Linked DNA regions of Macaca mulatta. The protein of the gene in region 1 purifies or fractionates together with the protein of each later gene. This does not show direct contact. Links are inferred from orthologs where the notes say so. Each region holds a gene or a part of one and is shown in the gene's direction. Other genes may lie near its edges. The genes, in order: TSSK6, CDC37, FKBP5 and HSP90AB1.

Evidence for each region.
Region 2: the proteins of TSSK6 (region 1) and CDC37 purify together in Homo sapiens (affinity purification with mass spectrometry; 4 studies listed by BioGRID and IntAct, with this or other methods). This does not show direct contact. The link is inferred for Macaca mulatta from reciprocal best matches to the Homo sapiens genes TSSK6 and CDC37.
Region 3: the proteins of TSSK6 (region 1) and FKBP5 purify together in Homo sapiens (affinity purification with mass spectrometry; 4 studies listed by BioGRID and IntAct, with this or other methods). This does not show direct contact. The link is inferred for Macaca mulatta from reciprocal best matches to the Homo sapiens genes TSSK6 and FKBP5.
Region 4: the proteins of TSSK6 (region 1) and HSP90AB1 purify together in Homo sapiens (affinity purification with mass spectrometry; 4 studies listed by BioGRID and IntAct, with this or other methods). This does not show direct contact. The link is inferred for Macaca mulatta from reciprocal best matches to the Homo sapiens genes TSSK6 and HSP90AB1.

The regions. Positions count from the first base shown.
Region 1 is NC_133424.1:20,109,054-20,113,087, reverse strand, and holds TSSK6 (testis-specific serine/threonine-protein kinase 6), read left to right. Parts: upstream 1-1,566; 5' UTR 1,567-1,705; coding exon 1,706-2,527; 3' UTR 2,528-2,914; downstream 2,915-4,034. UniProt on the Homo sapiens protein: Serine/threonine-protein kinase component of the sperm flagellar doublet microtubules. May act as a regulator of sperm motility by mediating phosphorylation of sperm doublet microtubule proteins.
Region 2 is NC_133424.1:11,121,957-11,126,333, reverse strand, and holds part of CDC37 (hsp90 co-chaperone Cdc37), read left to right. Parts: exon of another isoform or gene 1-50; intron 51-1,068; coding exon 1,069-1,344; intron 1,345-1,575; coding exon 1,576-1,837; intron 1,838-1,929; coding exon 1,930-2,045; intron 2,046-2,129; coding exon 2,130-2,252; intron 2,253-3,187; coding exon 3,188-3,370; intron 3,371-3,470; coding exon 3,471-3,542; intron 3,543-4,377. UniProt on the Homo sapiens protein: Co-chaperone that binds to numerous kinases and promotes their interaction with the Hsp90 complex, resulting in stabilization and promotion of their activity. Inhibits HSP90AA1 ATPase activity.
Region 3 is NC_133409.1:146,536,094-146,541,182, forward strand, and holds the start of FKBP5 (peptidyl-prolyl cis-trans isomerase FKBP5), read left to right. Parts: upstream 1-1,987; 5' UTR 1,988-2,057; intron 2,058-5,089. UniProt on the Homo sapiens protein: Immunophilin protein with PPIase and co-chaperone activities. Component of unligated steroid receptors heterocomplexes through interaction with heat-shock protein 90 (HSP90).
Region 4 is NC_133409.1:137,862,333-137,867,174, reverse strand, and holds the end of HSP90AB1 (heat shock protein HSP 90-beta), read left to right. Parts: intron 1-52; coding exon 53-212; intron 213-395; coding exon 396-529; intron 530-662; coding exon 663-971; intron 972-1,414; coding exon 1,415-1,580; intron 1,581-1,783; coding exon 1,784-1,974; intron 1,975-2,096; coding exon 2,097-2,244; intron 2,245-2,359; coding exon 2,360-2,628; intron 2,629-3,117; coding exon 3,118-3,451; intron 3,452-3,561; coding exon 3,562-3,671; 3' UTR 3,672-3,949; downstream 3,950-4,842. Other genes in the region: SLC35B2 (adenosine 3'-phospho 5'-phosphosulfate transporter 1), read right to left, coding at 4,763-4,842. UniProt on the Homo sapiens protein: Molecular chaperone that promotes the maturation, structural maintenance and proper regulation of specific target proteins involved for instance in cell cycle control and signal transduction. Undergoes a functional cycle linked to its ATPase activity.

The DNA.
Region 1 (4,034 bases):
AACGTGTTACTTAAAACATTTGAAAACTTTACGACGGGCATGGTGGCTCACGCCTGTAATCCTACCACTTTGGGAGGCCGAGGTGGGCCGATCATCTGAGGTTGGGAGTTGGAGACCACCCTGACCAACGTGGAGAAACCCCATCTCTACTAAAAATACAAAATTAGCCAGGCGTGGTGGCACATGCCTGTAATCCCAGCTACTCGGGAGGCTGAGGCAAGAGAATTGCTTGAACCCAGGAGGCAGAGGTTGCGGTGAGCCGAGATGGCGCCATTGCACTCCGGTCTGGGCAACAAGACCAAAACTCCGTCTCAAAAAAAAAATACATAAATGAAAACAATTTGAAAACTTTAAGAATACGGATTCCTGGGACACCATGGAGGCGGGGGCTGCCTGCAGGGAACCACTTTATAGAACATCTTGTAAATTCCCTCCAAGTTCCAGGTTGCGGCCTCAGCCTTGCCTTGGGGAGCCGTGGCCTCTTTTGGGCCTCAGTTTCCCCATCTGAGAAATCCAAGGGTGGCTGAGGGCCAGAGCGCAGACTATGCCTCAGTTTAACCCACTGTAAAATGTAAATAATTAGAGGGACCGATTTCCTGGGCTGTTACGAGAAGGAAGCGGAGCTGGGAAAGCGCTCAACAAACTGCAGCACTTGACGTTATTACAGAAGCTATGGAGGATTCTCGAGCTCAGCCTCCGGTCTCACCGCCAGGGAAACTGAGGCCCGCTTGTGTCCCCGGAACCCCGCCCCCGAGCCCCGAGTACCCACTCTGAGACCCCGGCCCAGAGTGATACTGACCCGACAGTCCTCGACGCGGCAAGTTTCGTTTGTAGTCGATGGGCCCATAGCCCCCCGGCGGGGGCATGTCCTGCTTCACCTTCGGCATCTCCATGCTAGCAGTATTCCACACTTCCGGTCCCAGGCGGAAGTGACATACTGCCACCGCCATGATGAGTGTGGCGGAAGCACTCGAGTTGGCCCGCCGCAGCCCTGGAAAGCCTCGGACACTAGTGTAACTACGCGACAGCGCAGGAAAGCTCCGGCGGCGGACCCTGGGTCGGAATACGCTGCCAGGCTGTAGCTGAGGAGTCTTTATTCCCTCTTTCTCCCAGACAGGGTGTGAATTGCCTTGGTTCTTGCATTAAAGGCCCTCGCGTTCGCCTTGCCTCTGGGGTGTTGCGCAGGCCAGTCAGAAACTCCGAGCGCCCGAGGGAGCCAGGGGCCCCAGTTAAGGCCCCTTTTCCCGTTTTCGCTCCGTCTAGGGACTCTACGGGAAGCCCAGGGCTCCACGTAGTCACGGGCTGGGTACGTGATGTTGGGGAGCAGCTGCTGCTCGAATTCGGACTCACCCCAATCCCCGGAACGGATGCTGCTCCCTGGTGGTGGTGGGTATCCCTTGCTAGTGGCCTCTCATCGGAAACTGACCATTCAAGGTGATTATGAGTCACAAAGCAGGGAGGCTAGGGTGGCCCCGGGGCGGGGTCCTGGACCCCCACCCTAAGGCGGAGTGACGCCCGTGGTCACTTCACAAGGCAAAAATTGTTACGGGGCAATAAAAGGCACAACAGCGGCCAATGCCTGGCAGTGGGCACATGGGGGTGCGGGGGTGTAGGTGCCAAGCGCCATGGCTTAGACCCGAGATTGGAGTCCGGCCGCCCCCCGACAGCAGCCGCCTCCTGCTCCCCGTGCGCCCCAGGCGCCACCATGTCGGGAGACAAACTTCTGAGCGAACTCGGTTATAAGCTGGGCCGCACAATTGGAGAGGGCAGCTACTCCAAGGTGAAGGTGGCCACATCCAAGAAGTACAAGGGTACCGTGGCCATCAAGGTGGTGGACCGGCGGCGAGCGCCCCCGGACTTCGTCAACAAGTTCCTGCCGCGAGAGCTGTCCATCCTGCGGGGCGTGCGACACCCGCACATCGTGCACGTCTTCGAGTTCATCGAGGTGTGCAACGGGAAACTGTACATCGTGATGGAAGCGGCTGCCACCGACCTGCTGCAAGCCGTGCAGCGCAACGGGCGCATCCCCGGAGTGCAGGCGCGCGACCTCTTCGCGCAGATCGCCGGCGCCGTGCGCTACCTGCACGATCACCACCTGGTGCACCGCGACCTCAAGTGCGAAAACGTGCTGCTGAGCCCGGACGAGCGCCGCGTCAAGCTCACCGACTTCGGGTTCGGCCGCCAGGCCCATGGCTACCCAGACCTGAGCACCACCTACTGCGGCTCAGCCGCCTACGCGTCACCCGAGGTGCTCCTGGGCATCCCCTACGACCCCAAGAAGTATGATGTGTGGAGCATGGGCGTCGTGCTCTACGTCATGGTCACCGGGTGCATGCCCTTCGACGACTCGGACATTGCCGGCCTGCCCCGGCGCCAGAAGCGCGGCGTGCTCTACCCCGAAGGCCTCGAGCTCTCCGAGCGCTGCAAGGCCCTGATCGCCGAGCTGCTGCAGTTCAGCCCGTCCGCCAGGCCCTCGGCGGGCCAGGTAGCGCGCAACTGCTGGCTGCGCACCGGGGACTCTGGCTAGAACCCGGGGTTCCAGCCATTCCTGCCCCCGAGGGCACTGGGCCAGCGCGGCGCACGCGCAAGAGGCGAGTTTAGCGGGAACATGCGAAGCTGCCGCGTGCTACTGCGCATGCGCCTTCTCCCTGCCGCTTCCCTCCCTTCCTTCCCACGGGGAAGTCGGCAGTTGCCCCTGTTCGGAATCCACGTCCTCCGCCATCCCGAGAGGTGGAGGCGCATGCGCATCCGTGATTTCCCAGACCAGGCCCCGAAAGAGGCGAGACCAGAGGGGAAGGAAGCATTGCGCCTGCGCGGAACAAGCTCAGCCTCTGCGCGGAGGGCGTACCTTCCCAACCAACGATGGGTGCCGGGTTCCCGGTTGGAACCTGCAATAAACTCGCTGTTCCTCGCACCTGGCTCTAACGGTGGCCCCATTTGCAGACCAGTGGAGAAGGGATCGCTCCGTCCGGGGAAGGCGGGCGCGGGTACCCTATTTTAGTCAGGCTTGTTGAGGTTATTGCTCCAAGACCCAAAAGGGAGTCGGGAGGATTCGAACCTGGACCTTTTGGGCTCCCCAGTATGGGCCAGCTCGAAGGAGCTCTGTTGTTCGTGGGTCGTGATGGTGCTGTGATGATGGGTGGGGAAGCAAGTGGACCCCAGCGCCTCCCCGTCCACATCTTTTAAGGATGGAACAGCCAGGGGTGGGGCGAGGGTCACCTGTCTCCACGTAAAGTAGGAGTTTATAGAAAAGGAAACTGAGGCCCACATGGATGTCACTTGCCAAAAGACGCAGCCAAGGGCTGGGCATGGTGGCTTACGCCTGTGACCCCAACACTGCGAGTCCGAGGCAGGCAGATCACTTGAGTTCAGGAATTCGAAAACAGCCTGGGCATCACAGCTGATACCTTATCTCTTGTTTTTTTGTTTTGTTTTGTTTTTTGAGACAGTCTCGCTCTGTCGCCCAGGCTGGAGTACAGTGGCACGATCTTGGCTCACTGCAACCTCCTCCTCCCGGGTTCAAGCGATTCTCTTACCTTAGCCTCCCAAGTAGCTGGGACTACAGGCACGTGCCCAAACACCCGGCTAATTTTTGTATTTTTAGTAGAGATGAGGTTTCACCATCTTGGCCAGACTAGTCTTGAACTCCTGACCTCCTGATCCACCTGCCTCGGCCTCTCAAAGTGTTGGGATTACAGGTCTGAGCCACTGCGCCCCCGACCCTGTCTCTAAAGAAAAAGAAAAAGAAAAAGTCCGGCGTGGTGGCTAACGCTTGTAATCCAAGGCGGGTGGATCACCTGAGGGCAGGAGTTCCAGACCAGCCTGGCCAACATAGTGAAACCTCATCTCTACTAAAACTACAAAAAAAAAAAAAAAAAAAAATAGCTGGGCATGGGGCAGGCACCTGTAATCTCAGCTACTCAGAGGCTAAGGCAGAAGAATCGCTTGAACCCGGGAGGTGGAGGTTGCAGTGAGCCGAGATCATGCCACTGCACTCCACCCTGGGCAACAAGAGCAAAACTCCGTCTCAAACA
Region 2 (4,377 bases), about 9.0 Mb from region 1:
GACAACAAGACCTTGTTCAAAGAAAACCAAACAAAATAAAAACAAAAAAACAAGCATTTGCTGAGCCCCTGCTTTGCGCCAGGCCAAGTTCCTGGTTCTGGAGACAAAATGGCAAACACATTCCCATATTTAGAGAGCGGGGCGGGGCAGTACCCAAAAACGTGATAAATAATTGTCATATGATGTGAGTGGTGGCTGGTGTTGAGGCAGGGAATTCCAGACGGGGGCAGCGGGAGGTTGCCATCAATAGGAAGGTGGTTAGGGAAGGGGTCCTCGCTAAGGCAACATGGAGCCCAGATGGCGCGGGTGCCATAGAGTCAGCTGTGGGGGGATCTGAGGGAAAATCATTCCAAGTAGTTGGAACAGCCAGTGTGAAGGCCTTGAAGTTCAAGAAAAAAGCAGGCTCTGCCGAGCAGAGTGGCTCCTGCCTGTGGTCCCAGCACTTTGGGAGGCCAAGGCGGAAGAATCGCTTGAACCCAGGACTTCAAGACCCGTCTGGGCAACATGGCGAAACCCCATCTTTACTGCAAATACAAAAATTAGCTGGGCGTGGTGGTGCACACCTGTAGTCCCAGCTACTCGGGAGGCGAGGTGGGAGGATTGCCTGAGCCCAGGGAGGTCGAGGCTTCAGTAAGTCGTCATTGGGCCACTGCACTCTGACCTGGGCGACAGAGTGAGACCCTGTTTTTTTGTTTTTTTTCTAAAAGAAAAAAGAATGGTCTCAAGAAAAGGTGAGAAAAGTGAGGGGCCAGTGTGGCTGGAAGGAAGAGTTAGCAGGGGAGGTGCCGGGTTAGATTGTGTAGGGCCTACGTAGGCTGTGGTGACAACCTGGACTCTGCTCTGAGTGAGATGGGAGCCGCCAGGGTTCTGAGCGGAGGACGGAGGGACCGGACCCCACTTGGGTGTGCGTCGGCACCTGTGGGGGCAGGGGCGGAAGCTGGGAGACCAGGGCACGGGAGGTGGAGGCATACTTTTTCCCGGGGCCATCTCTGGTGCGGGGATTGGGTATGGGGCTGGGGGTAAGGGACAGGCCGCTCCCCAAAGTTGATAGGCCGCCCCTGCCCGCAGGCCCGGGTGGAGCGCATGGAGCAGTTCCAGAAGGAGAAGGAGGAACTGGACAGGGGCTGCCGCGAGTGCAAGCGCAAGGTGGCCGAATGCCAGAGGAAGCTGAAGGAGCTGGAGGTGGCTGAGGGCGGCAAGGCAGAGCTGGAGCGGCTGCAGGCCGAGGCACAGCAGCTGCGCAAAGAGGAGCGGAGCTGGGAGCAGAAGCTGGAAGAGATGCGCAAGAAGGAGAAGAGCATGCCCTGGAACGTGGACACGCTCAGCAAAGACGGCTTCAGCAAGGTGTGCGGGGCGGGCGGGGTGGGCAGTGCACTTGCGCAGCCGGCGAGTATGCAGCCAGGACGCATGCGCACCCAATGCCTGGTCAGGGGAGGACCGCGGCGGTGTAGTTGAAGAGTGTGGTGTGGGGCAGAGAGCTGAGGGACGGACGGGGGCCACGTGGGAGGGGGGACAGGCTTGGAGGGCCGGGCGGATGAAACACCCCACCGGTCCCCTCCTCTGATCTGCCCCAAGGCCCATGCCCACGCTCCCGCCACCTTGATGCTCATGGCTTCGTCACCACCTCCGCCGTGGATGGGATGGGCGCTGCGGCCACGGCCCGCCCGGCCGCACTCGAGGCGCTCCGCAGCCTTGCCCCAGCCCACTCCCCCTCTCACCCTACCACAGAGCATGGTCAACACCAAGCCCGAGAAGACAGAGGAGGACTCAGAGGAGGTGAGGGAGCAGAAACACAAGACTTTCGTGGAAAAGTACGAGAAACAGATCAAGCACTTTGGTGAGTGGGGCGTGTGAGGTTATGGGGGGCAAGGTCGGGGCAGGCCCTTTGCCTCCAGGGCCCTCCAGCACCTTGCCAGCATCTTCCCACAGGCATGCTCCGCCGCTGGGATGACAGCCAAAAGTACCTGTCAGACAATGTCCACCTGGTGTGCGAGGAGACGGCCAATTACCTGGTCATCTGGTGCATTGACCTAGAGGTGGAGGAGGTGAGTGGAGCTTTCCCCAGGGCTGTGAAAAGGTGCTGCCCTGAGGCCGCCACTTGGTAACACTGTGCCTGTTCTCCCTGGCAGAAATGTGCACTCATGGAGCAGGTGGCTCACCAGACAATCGTCATGCAGTTTATCCTGGAGCTGGCCAAGAGCCTGAAGGTGGACCCCCGGGCCTGCTTCCGGCAGTTCTTCACTAAGATTAAGGTAGGGTCCCCTGAGCTGCCAGGTGGCTGGAGGCCCCCTCCCCAGGGAACCAGCCCACAGCGCTCTGGGTAAGGCCGACTCCTGTCCACTGGGACTCAAGCCCCTCCAATCACCGAATCCTAGATCAGGAGAGGGCGGGGCCAAGGAGGGGGAGAGAAGTGGGCGGATGCTGCCAGACTTTAAAAGTGGAGGTCAGGCCAGGCTTGGTGACTGAGTCCTATAGTCCAAGTCTTTGGGAGGCTGAAGCAGGAGGACCACTTGAGCTCAGGAATTTGTGAGCTGTGGTGTTCCACTGCACTCCAGCCTGGGTGACAGAGCAAAACTGCATTACAAAAAAAAATGGGAGCACTAGGATGTGCTGGAGGTCCCCATGTGGATATGTGGGTAAAGGACAGAGGTGAGGGTGCCTCTAGGGCTCTGGGCTTTTTTTTGTTTTTGAGACCCAGTCTTGCTATCACCAAGGCTGGAGTGCAATGGCGTGATCTCAGCTCACTACAACCCCTGCCTCCTGGGTTCAAGCAATTCTCATGCCTCAGCCTCCCAAGTAGCTGGCATTACAGGCGCCTGCCAGCCTCTCGGGTTTTTAACTTGCGCACCTGGAGGAACAGGGCTACCCTTACCAAGACTGGGGAGACCAAGGACAAGGCAGGCTGGGAGGTGGCCGTGTTGAGTTAGAGGTGCCCATGCAGGGACACTGAGGACACGAGTGTCTCGGATCTGCAGTAGAGCAGGGCTCCCAAGGAGGTGGTCTTTAGCAAATGCCAGATGAGGTCCCTGGCAGGGGAGCCCAGGCCTTGGGAAGCCCTTTATGTAAGTCAGGAACAGACTTAGGGAGCCCTGGGGCACCTCTGAGGAGCTGTGGCTGGAGGGTCCTGGGCCCCCAGTCCCTCCTGAGCACTGGGCCAAGTCTAGTGAGCACTGCCCGACCCCCATAGACAGCCGATCGCCAGTACATGGAGGGCTTCAACGACGAGCTAGAAGCCTTCAAGGAGCGTGTGCGGGGCCGTGCCAAGCTGCGCATTGAGAAGGCCATGAAGGAGTATGAGGAGGAGGAGCGCAAGAAGCGGCTTGGCCCCGGCGGCCTGGACCCTGTCGAGGTCTACGAGTCCCTCCCTGAGGTGCGGCTCCCCAGCCCAGGCGGGCGGCAGGAGGACCCTGAGCGGGACCCCCCAGGGCACAGGGACCCAGCCCCTGACCCCAGCCCTTCTATACCCCCAGGAACTCCAGAAGTGCTTCGATGTAAAGGACGTGCAGATGCTGCAAGACGCCATCAGCAAGATGGACCCCACCGTGAGTAACCCCCACGTCCCATGCCTTTCCAGCGGGCCATGTGTCTCCCCCAGCCCTGTGTCCCAAGTCTCTGAAGCCAGTTGGTGAAAGTGCCCCTCCAAGGCTTCTCCAAGGACTAAGGGGGGTCGTGTTACCTTGGCACACACCCACATTTATTGAGCACCTACTGTGTCCCAGCATCCAGCAGATAAATGCTGAGCTTTGAGCGTATGTCCCTTGTGACTGATAGTCACTGTTACTGTGACTGAGTCCAGCCTCAGTTTCCTTATGCAAACCATATTTTCTCTCAATATCAGCTCACAAAACGTGTGGGGAAAGGAGCTGAGCACACGGCAGGGGCTGGTAAATGCTGGCTGTTAATTGGATTTTGTCTGTTTTTTGTTTTTGTTTTTTTTTTTTTGAGACAGAGTCTCACTCTGTCACCCAGGCTGGAGTGCAGTGGTGCTATTTCTGCTCACTGCAAACTCCGCCTCCCGGGTTCGCACCATTCTCCTGCCTCAGCCTCCCGAGTAGCTGGGACTACAGGCACCCACCACCATGCCCGGCTAATTTTTTGTATTTTTTAGTAGAGACGGGGTTTCACTGTGTTAGCCAGGATGGTCTCAATCTCCTGACCTCGTGATCCGCCCGCCTCAGCCTCCCAGAGTGCTGGGATTACAGGCGTGAGTCACTGCACCTGGCCATCTGTTTTTTTTTTTTTGACAGACAGGGTCTTCCTCTCTCACCCAGGCTGCAGCCTCCACCTCCCAGGCTCAAGTGATCCTCCCACCTCAGCCTCCCCAAGTACCTGGGATTATAGGCTGACACCATGACATCTCACTGATTTTTTTTCTAA
Region 3 (5,089 bases), on another chromosome or scaffold:
ACCGCGTCTCTACTAAAAAATACAAAAATTAGCTGGTGATGTGTACCTGTAATCCCAGCTACTCAGGAGGCTGAGGCAGAACTGCTTGAACCCACGAGGCGGAGGTTGCAGTGAATCGAGATCGCACCACTGCACTCCATCCTGGCAACAGAGGGAGACTCCGTCTCAAAACCAGTTTAGTCACGGATTTAGCTTTGTGGTCTCCTTGTGCCTCATTTTCCCCACCTGTAAAATAGAAACAATAAGACTTACTTCATGGGATTGCGAGGATTAAGTAAAGCACTTGGAACAGTGCCCAGCACACAGAGCTCAACAAATGTTGACTATAATCCTAATTATCTCCGCAGGTTTCACCTGGACAACATGTGGGGTGTGGGCAGGCAGTGAGAACACAGACGGTAGCCCTCAATGCATCCCAGCCTGAAAAGCACATGAGTCAGCCCTTCCTTCCACTTACCCACTACCTCTCACGCTAGTCGTTGTCTTTTTTTTTTTTTTGATACGAGTCTGGCTCTGTCTCCCAGGTTGCAGTGCAGTGGCGCCATCTCGGCTCACTGCAAACTCGGCCTCCCAGGTTCGAGCAATTCTTGTGCCTCAGCTTGCCGAGTAGCTGGAACTACAGGCGTGCACCACCGCGCCTGGTTAATTTTTGTATTTTTAGTGGATTGGATTTCACCATTTCGGCCAGGCTGGTCCCGAACTCCTGCTCTCAGGTGATCTGCCTGCCTCGGCCTCTCAAAGTGCTGGGATTACAGGCATAAACCACCACACCAGACCTCCCTGGTCTTCTTAAAGTGAATCAATCCGAATTCCTGTAATCCATGTAACTGCTTTGAGTGACTCTGGAACCCTCTTTGAAGCCCCCACAAATACCTAAAAGAGGAGCAGGAGCGCTACAACACATTCCCCTAAACTGTGTTTCTAAGAACCATCCAACTACCTGTGGAACCCTAAGGCCCCTTCCTCATCTCTTTACCAATATCCTGGCAATGGTTGTTTGAGCCTAGTTAATGACAGAAGCTCCAGCCAGATGCTGTTGGGGGTCCTCTACGAAAAGACACCGCCATTCCCGAGGGTGATACTGCAGCGGCCCAGTACTTGTGCGCATAGAAGCTAAGGGGAAATTGCCCTACCCTAAACTCCAGTGAAAAGCCCTTTGCAGTCCGACAGGCTTGCATTCACATCCCAGCAGTGTGGGGTTTGGACAAATTCCATAATCTGAGTCTGTTTCCTCTTCTAGAACGCGAGTCTATGAATTCCTGTCTACTGCCTGGAAGTGCCGCTGTCAGGACTGACTAAGATAATGTGTGTACTTTCGGTGCACAGGGGACGCTCAACACGTGCGAGCTTCCCTTGCAGAAAACCAAGAGATGAAAGGCTGGGGGCCGCCCCTGCCTTGACGTGCATCCCATACTCTCCGAGATCATCTCTCCCCAGCTAGCGCTTACTCCTGCCCAGGAACCAGATCCTGGGGCCTCCGGGTAGCTCCGGCTAAGGCGCGGGAAGCAGAGGGGGCCAGCGCCCCCAGAGGAGGAGGTTGGGGGGGAAGGAGGCCGCGCCTTTCCCCGCCCCGGGCCTCCCCCCGTCTTGCTCTCCCTCCCCGGACTACCTCCTCCCCCCGCGCGCATCCGGCGACGGGCACAGGATGTTCTTTCGCTCCCGTCCCCGCTCCGCCCCCGCTCTCACTTTCTCTTCGCTCCCCTCCCCCACTCGCGCCGCGCCCGGCGCCGGCACCTAATTTAACTCTTTCTCTCCCGCGCTCGTTGGCGCCTGTGCGCCTCCTGGGCGGGGGTCCCATCCTTCCCGCCCGCCCCCCAGGACGTGGAGCGAGGGGGCTGACCGGGAAGGGGCGGGCCTGAGCTGAGCGCTGGGCCCAGGTTCTCAGGATCCTTTAGCCCGCAGCTGGTGGAGAGGGCTCACCGGGATCCGGCACTCTAGAACCCCCGCTAGTTCACCCGGGTAAGGGTGGGGGTGGAGATGGGTACCCACACTCGAGACAGCTGCGCGCCCAAGAAAGGCGGCCAGGCGGGCTTAGATGCTGGCCCGGCGGGGGGCGAGTAGGGTCAAGGGCCACCAACCTCATCCTCCCCCCAGGTTCGGATGCGGAGGGGCCCAGGGCACCAGCAGAGGATGGAGAGAGGCCACGCCCCTCGGCGACGTCACTGATGTCAAGGCAACCGGGGGCGGGACGGTGGGCTACTGAAGGGCAGACCTCAGGGAATTGAGGCTGCCGGTGGCTCTGGGACGGGGTGGGGGTGGGGGTGGGGGCGCAGCAGGGGCGGGCTTTTCAATTTGCTTCAGTCAATGATGTCCAAAAAACGGAGTGAGGGTCAGCTTCTGTTCGCTCTTTGATTCAACAGGCATTTATTGAGCGTTATGCTTGGGGCTGTGCTTAGGCACTGGGATATTGCGTGCCATCCGAACCCTGCCAGTTGTTGTGAACTACGGTAGGGTGGCTCTGCGTCCCTGGAACGGACGTAATTATTAACAGTGCCCCTTTTCAAGTTTAAAGTGTCCCAGTATGGGCAGTAGTTAAGGAACACCTTTCTCCCAATTCAGAAAAGGCTCCAACCATACGGGGAAGGAATATAAACTATTGGGTACAACAGGCACTTTCCTGGTGCTTTGTATTCTCTGTAATTTTTGCCCCTCATTCTGCAAAACGAGTGTCACTAGCGGCTTTTACAGACGAAGAAACTGGCTCAGAGAGGTTAAGAGACTTACCCAGGGCCAAACAGCTAAGTGTTGGAACCAGGATCCAGACCCAAGTTTTATGTGCCCTCCAAAGTATTTCGTGCCTGCTTCTCAAAATAAGTAGATGATGTCAAATAAATAAAAGACACTGTCCCTGCCATTAAAAAGCCTACAGCCTATGGGAGAAGAGGTTTAAAATACTGCAGGACATAACTAAGCAATAAAACATAAAAAAGATTAGGTGGGGCACGGTAGCTCACTCCTGTAATCCCAGCACTTTGGGAGGCTGAGGCGGGTGGATCACCTGAGGTCAGGAGTTTGAGACCAGCCTGACCAATATGGTGAAACCCCGTCTCTACTAAAAATGCAAATATTAGCTGGGCGTGGTGGTGTTCAACTGAAGTCCCAGCTACTCGGGAGGCTCAGATAGGAGAATTGCTTGAACTGGGGAGGCAGAGGTTGCAATGAGCCGAGATCGCCCCACTGCACTCCACCCTGGGCGACAGAGCAAGACTCAATCTCAAAAAAAGAAAAAAAAAGGAAAAGATTAAAGGCAGCTCACAGGCTCAGAGGGAAGCCACTAGTTATGCCACTCTCCTTTCCACATTCTGCCCTCCTCTGTGGTTTTGTCTCTTACTGAACAGGGACTCCTAGCAGGCATCTGCCCTCATTCTGCTCTGCACCCAAGGTTTTGCAGTTGGTATTTGCCACAACCTTCCTGATATTAACTTGGATGTCGGCCTCTCCCTTCCCCACCAGCTCCCCACCTCCAGCCACCTAAGATTTTGGGGAAATGAAAAACAGTGGCCCTTCAAAACAAAAGGGCCCCAGTGAGCATTGGGAAGCCAATAGGCTTGATGGGACTGGGGAGACCAAGGCAGGAGAGAGAATTGGAACGGTGGAAAGGGAACACCACCAAATGGATGGGTCACTTGAGGAACATTTGCTGCCCTCCTGCTGTGCAGGAGGCACTGCACTCAACCCTGTGGCCTGGACATGCCATGAGTGAATTCAGGTCCCATCTCACAGAGAATACACAGCTTAGCTAGTGTACTCACTGTGCTTGGTTGAGGAGTCTGAAGTTGATAACATACACAATAAATGATGTTTGAGAAAGATTATTCCAGCAGGGTGTGTAGGAGGAAGGAAAAAGAAAGGACAGTGTAGCAGCTGCTGTGAGAATTTGGGCCAAAGGTGGAATCTATGGGGCTGGAGGGGAAAGGGTGAAGGAGAAAAGTAATGAACAAACAATATATTTTGAAATAAAAGCAACAAAGGGAAGAATTTGATAAGATATCAGACATAAGGATGATGAAGGAGAGAAAGTAGTTAAACATTAATCTACCTTTGCAGTGAGTTTCAGGACTGGGAGGGTCATGGTGGGCAATGGGGAGGAGCTGGTGTGAGGGACATGAATATGAGTTCAGTCACTTCTAGGCCATGTAAGGGCAGGTGTCCCGTAGGTGACTGGACTTGGAGATAGGGAAGTCCAGAAGAGCAGTGGGCTGCTGTCTGAGAGTGTCCCTGTCATAGCCTCGAGCAATCACTGACCTGGGATCACGGACAGATTTCAAGCATCAGGAAGAAGGTGGGAGTAGATGGCAGTGAAGGTGCCTCCCAACTGGGAGATGCAGTGTGCATTGGCTGGGTGAGAGCCTGTGTGGGAAGTGTGATGTATGTATGGGAAGGGGGTCCACGGCTCAGGCCTGTGTTGGCATCTTTAGCCACAGAGGGTGCCAGAGATGCCATCAGATGGCAGGAGGCCCAGGTAAGGCACTTCAGCAGCCTGAGGTCCCTCCCCTAGGCCCACCCTCAAAGGCCCTGGAGCCCAGGCCTATGCTGCCTGCCAGGGCCTTTCCCGGAACCACTCCTCCCCGCCTGCCCTGGCACTCTCCAGGCACAAAGCATCCCTCAGGGCACTGCGCAGCACCCCAGGAAGCTGGGACGTGGGGCAGGTCCCCATCCCCAGGAAGAGCCCTGCTCTGGGCTGCTGTCATCATCACAATGGCCCCACAAGATGCCAGGACACAGCATAGGGACAGCATAAGTCCCCAGTGGGGACCCCAAATGGGACCCCATTTCCCCTGCATAGAGGTGGAAGGAGGAGGTTTGTGGCTAGGTGGCAGGATTCCTGGGTCTTTATTGTGGTTTGGGGGTGGGGGCAGAAAAGCAGGGTCTCAGGCTTCAAAACACCACACCACCTGCCTGTTCCTCCCTCCGAGGAGGAAATCTTCAGGGGCCTTGTGGTTTTGAGGGGAGGGGGCAGGAAGAGACTCTGAACTCTGGGTCAGCTGAGGACAGAGATAGGGGAGATCCTCTTGCCCTATGTCCCACTTTTCTTCTAGGATCCTCTTCCTCGGCTCCCTACTCCGCCACTACCCCAGAACAAACTCCT
Region 4 (4,842 bases), on another chromosome or scaffold:
TTTTTTTGCTGCTTTAAATTTTGTGTTTGACTTTACAAAAACTTGTTGGCAGGCTGGTGCAGACATCTCCATGATTGGACAGTTTGGTGTTGGCTTTTATTCTGCCTACCTGGTGGCAGAGAAAGTGGTTGTGATCACAAAGCACAACGATGATGAACAGTATGCTTGGGAGTCTTCTGCTGGAGGTTCCTTCACTGTGCGGGCTGACCATGGTAAGTTAGCTTTTCTGTTACAAGGTAGCTGGGTTAGAGTTTTGTGGGCTCACCAGTAGCAGAAATTTTGAGCATCCTGTCAAGCAGTTCTTCATAGCAGTTCCGCTAATACTTTATTAATTTGGTGAAGTCTCAACTGCATATACTTTCGTCCTGTTACACGCTTATGATTGACTCTTCTAGGTGAGCCCATTGGCAGAGGTACCAAAGTGATCCTCCATCTTAAAGAAGATCAGACAGAATACTTGGAAGAGAGGCGGGTCAAAGAAGTAGTGAAGAAGCACTCTCAGTTCATAGGCTATCCCATCACCCTTTATGTGAGTATGGACTTTTAAACCTTTTACACTTAGCCTGCAGGATGTTTCCTGTTCTGGAGAATCTCGTGGTCCCTGGCTGCTTCTTTTCCTGGTGTTTTGTACTCCAAGGCTAATTTCTGTTTTTCTTACTTAGTTGGAGAAGGAGCGAGAGAAGGAAATTAGTGATGATGAGGCAGAGGAAGAGAAAGGTGAGAAAGAAGAGGAAGATAAAGATGATGAAGAAAAGCCCAAGATCGAAGATGTGGGTTCAGATGAGGAGGATGACAGTGGTAAGGATAAGAAGAAGAAAACTAAGAAGATCAAAGAGAAATACATTGATCAGGAAGAGCTAAACAAGACCAAGCCTATTTGGACCAGAAACCCTGATGACATCACCCAAGAGGAGTATGGAGAATTCTATAAGAGCCTCACCAATGACTGGGAAGACCACTTGGCAGTCAAGGTGAGAAGCCTTTGCATGTTGGGTCAACATGCAAATATGGAGAGGAATAAGTGGAAGAGTGTTGGCAGGTAATAGACACATGGAACGTGTCCAGCTGATAACAGAAATATGAGAGCCATGTATTTTCACTTACTGATTACCCGGTCATAGTGAAGTGCCATCCTTCCTAATGACCTCACTTTCTCTAAAGGAAATCTGGGTAATGTCTATTGGCAGCCTTACACATCCAGAGTTCTGATCAGAGCGGACTGTTTTCTATATACAGCTAGTATTCGTCTAGATCGTTGAGGGCATTAAGGCTCAGTTTTCTCGGGAACTGCCTGTGTGTGCGCTCTATCCGTTAGGCTTATGGGGAGGATCATTATTCCATTTTTAGGTAATTTGGTGTTGGGGCTAAAAGGCCCTCTTTTGAAATGTATCACTTATTTTTTGTTTTTTTCCAGCACTTTTCTGTAGAAGGTCAGTTGGAATTCAGGGCATTGCTATTCATTCCTCGTCGGGCTCCCTTTGACCTTTTTGAGAACAAGAAGAAAAAGAACAACATCAAACTCTATGTCCGTCGTGTGTTCATCATGGACAGCTGTGATGAGTTAATACCAGAGTATCTCAGTGAGTATCTCCTTGGCCTAATTTAGTTGGGTGAAGTCTTGGGAGGTTTTCGGCATTCTGCCAGAATATCCTAGGTTAAGGATTTTCTGCAATGCATAGTAAGTATAAGGGTTCAGGAGGCTATTAGAGCCTTCTGTTTGAATCTGGGTACCAGCTCTGGTCTAGCTATTTTTACTGAGCTTTCTTATCCTGGTTGATGGCAGATTTTATTCGTGGTGTGGTTGACTCTGAGGATCTGCCCCTGAACATCTCCCGAGAAATGCTCCAGCAGAGCAAAATCTTGAAAGTCATTCGTAAAAACATTGTTAAGAAGTGTCTTGAGCTCTTCTCTGAGCTGGCAGAAGACAAGGAGAATTACAAGAAATTCTATGAGGCATTCTCTAAAAATCTCAAGGTAAAGAGGCAAATGCTTATTCCCTTTACCACTTTCTTAGTAATTACTAACAAATTTTTCTATTCACATAGAAAGTGAATTGTAGTTAAGTTGGATTGTTTTTTCTCTTCCCACTCTTCAAGCTTGGAATCCACGAGGACTCCACTAACCGCCGCCGCCTGTCTGAGCTGCTGCGCTATCACACCTCCCAGTCTGGAGATGAGATGACATCTCTGTCAGAGTATGTTTCTCGCATGAAGGAGACACAGAAGTCCATCTATTACATCACTGGTGCGTTGGTTCTGATGGAAGCCTTTTTGGAGGAGTGGGGAGCACATTTCAGGGCTACCTAGGAACTGGCAGTATGAGGCATTTTAGTCACTGAGTCCATTTAATTACCCTACAGGTGAGAGCAAAGAGCAGGTGGCCAACTCAGCTTTTGTGGAGCGAGTGCGGAAACGGGGCTTCGAGGTGGTATATATGACCGAGCCCATTGACGAGTACTGTGTGCAGCAGCTCAAGGAGTTTGATGGGAAGAGCCTGGTCTCAGTTACCAAGGAGGGTCTGGAGCTGCCTGAGGATGAGGAGGAGAAGAAGAAGATGGAAGAGAGCAAGGCAAAGTTTGAGAACCTTTGCAAGCTCATGAAAGAAATCTTAGATAAGAAGGTTGAGAAGGTAAGCCATTCTGGAGCTAGGATATATTTTGTAACATACCTTTGAGGTGGGCTCCCTCACAATCATGTTTCTACACAATTAGTGGCTTGAGGCACCCTATTTACTGTTTGGAGCCTTCTTGGCTCTTGTTCTCTCCCCTAGCCAGGTTTAAGGCTATTTTAATAAAATTTGGCACAGATAAGGCATTGCTTCAGTTAACTTGTGAGAGTAGATAAAATATTATTTTCTTCTTTTTTTGACTGGATCTCAGCTCACTGCAAATTCAAGTCTCCTGAGTGGCTGGGATTACAGACATGTGCCACCACACCCGGTTAATTTTTTGTATATTTTGTAGAGAGAGGGTTTTGCCAGGTTGGTCTCAAACTCAAGTGATCGGCCCCACCTCCTCCTCCTCCCCCTGCTGGAATTACAGGCTTGACAGTGTCCGTTTTCTCTTTCAAAGTGGTCACTGATCTAATGCAAATCTAAGGCTTTTGTGATTGTCCACAGGTGACAATTTCCAATAGGCTTGTGTCTTCACCCTGCTGCATTGTGACCAGCACCTATGGCTGGACAGCCAATATGGAGCGGATCATGAAAGCCCAGGCACTTCGGGACAACTCCACCATGGGCTATATGATGGCCAAAAAGCACCTGGAGATCAACCCTGACCACCCCATTGTGGAGACTCTGCGGCAGAAGGCTGAGGCCGACAAGAATGATAAGGCAGTTAAGGACCTGGTGGTGCTGCTGTTTGAAACCGCCCTGCTCTCTTCAGGCTTTTCCCTTGAGGATCCCCAGACCCACTCCAACCGCATCTACCGCATGATCAAGCTAGGTCTAGGTAAGCAGCTTTGGTACTTGATGTGGCAAGGAGTTTGTGCAACTAGGCTCCTGTCTGGATTTGACTTAATGCTATTTAATCAAGTCTTACATGGCTTAATTTTACTTTAGGTATTGATGAAGATGAAGTGGCAGCAGAAGAACCCAGTGCTGCAGTTCCTGATGAGATTCCCCCTCTTGAGGGCGATGAGGATGCGTCTCGCATGGAAGAAGTCGATTAGAAGTTCATAGTTGGAAAACTTGTGCCCTTGTATAGTGTCCCCGTGGCTCCCACTGCAGCCTCAAGTGCCCCTGTCCCACCTGGCTCCCCCTGCTGATGTCTAGTGTTGTTTTTCCTCTCCTGTCCTTGTGTTGAAGGCAGGAAACCAAGGGTGTCAAGCCCCATTCCCTCTCTACTCTGACAGCAGGATTGGATGTTGTGTGTTGTGGTTTATTTTATTTTCTTCATTTTGTTCTGAAATTAAAGTATGCAAAATAAAGAATATGCCGTTTTTATACACTTTTGCTCTCCCTTGTGAAGTGGATGTTAATTCTTCCCTAGCTTCTCTATCCCCCCAGCTCTTGCTGTTTTCATGAGCACAGCAAGTTAAGCTGGTTTTGTAGCTAAGATACAGAATACCAGTGAGTCTTAAGAGTGCACACACTGAAGCCAAAGGCAGTTTTTCTGAAAAACTACCGTATAATAATGCCTTTTCAGTCAACCAAAACACAGGACCAAGCCCATTACAGTAATTTAATTTAATAAAATAAAATTATAAGAGCAAAAAGTTACATTTCTAAAGTACCAAAACCTACAACAGGCTCATGGAGTAGAGCCTAGGGATCCAGGAGCATAGGAGGTGGTGGTGCTGGGCAGGGATCTGCATCCCCTTTCCACAACACAGCACCATCTTCACTTCACCCCCCTGGGAAAGCAGCATTGGAGCCTACACCGCTTGTGCTTTTCTCACCAGGGTAAGAAATGCAGGTATTTGCAGAGGGGAGTCTGGAAGGCAGCAGAGCACAGCTAGGGCAAGACTTAAGGAAACTTCTGGGAGGGGGAACTGTGGAACCTACCTATGCCCTCTTGACCCCAAACTCCCCCTCACTGAGGACTATCTCTACCCTGGGGCTCAGAATAAACTGCCTGCTGGAAGATGGGTGACTTAAGGCAAAAGGGAAGGCTGCCTCCTGGGCTCCCCACCCCCTGCTGCAGAGTCTATGATACTGAGAAAACACCTGCATTTTGCCCTTTGAGCCAGCTCCCTCGGGTTACAGTAGGAGAAAATGGTGAGAAGACTATTTCACTTCACCCCTCAGGCCCTCTCCACCCTCAAACCTTCTGCACAGGAGACTCAACAGGCACAGCCTTCTTTCCCCGTTGCTTTAGACGGCCCCGCGCGTAGACTCTGA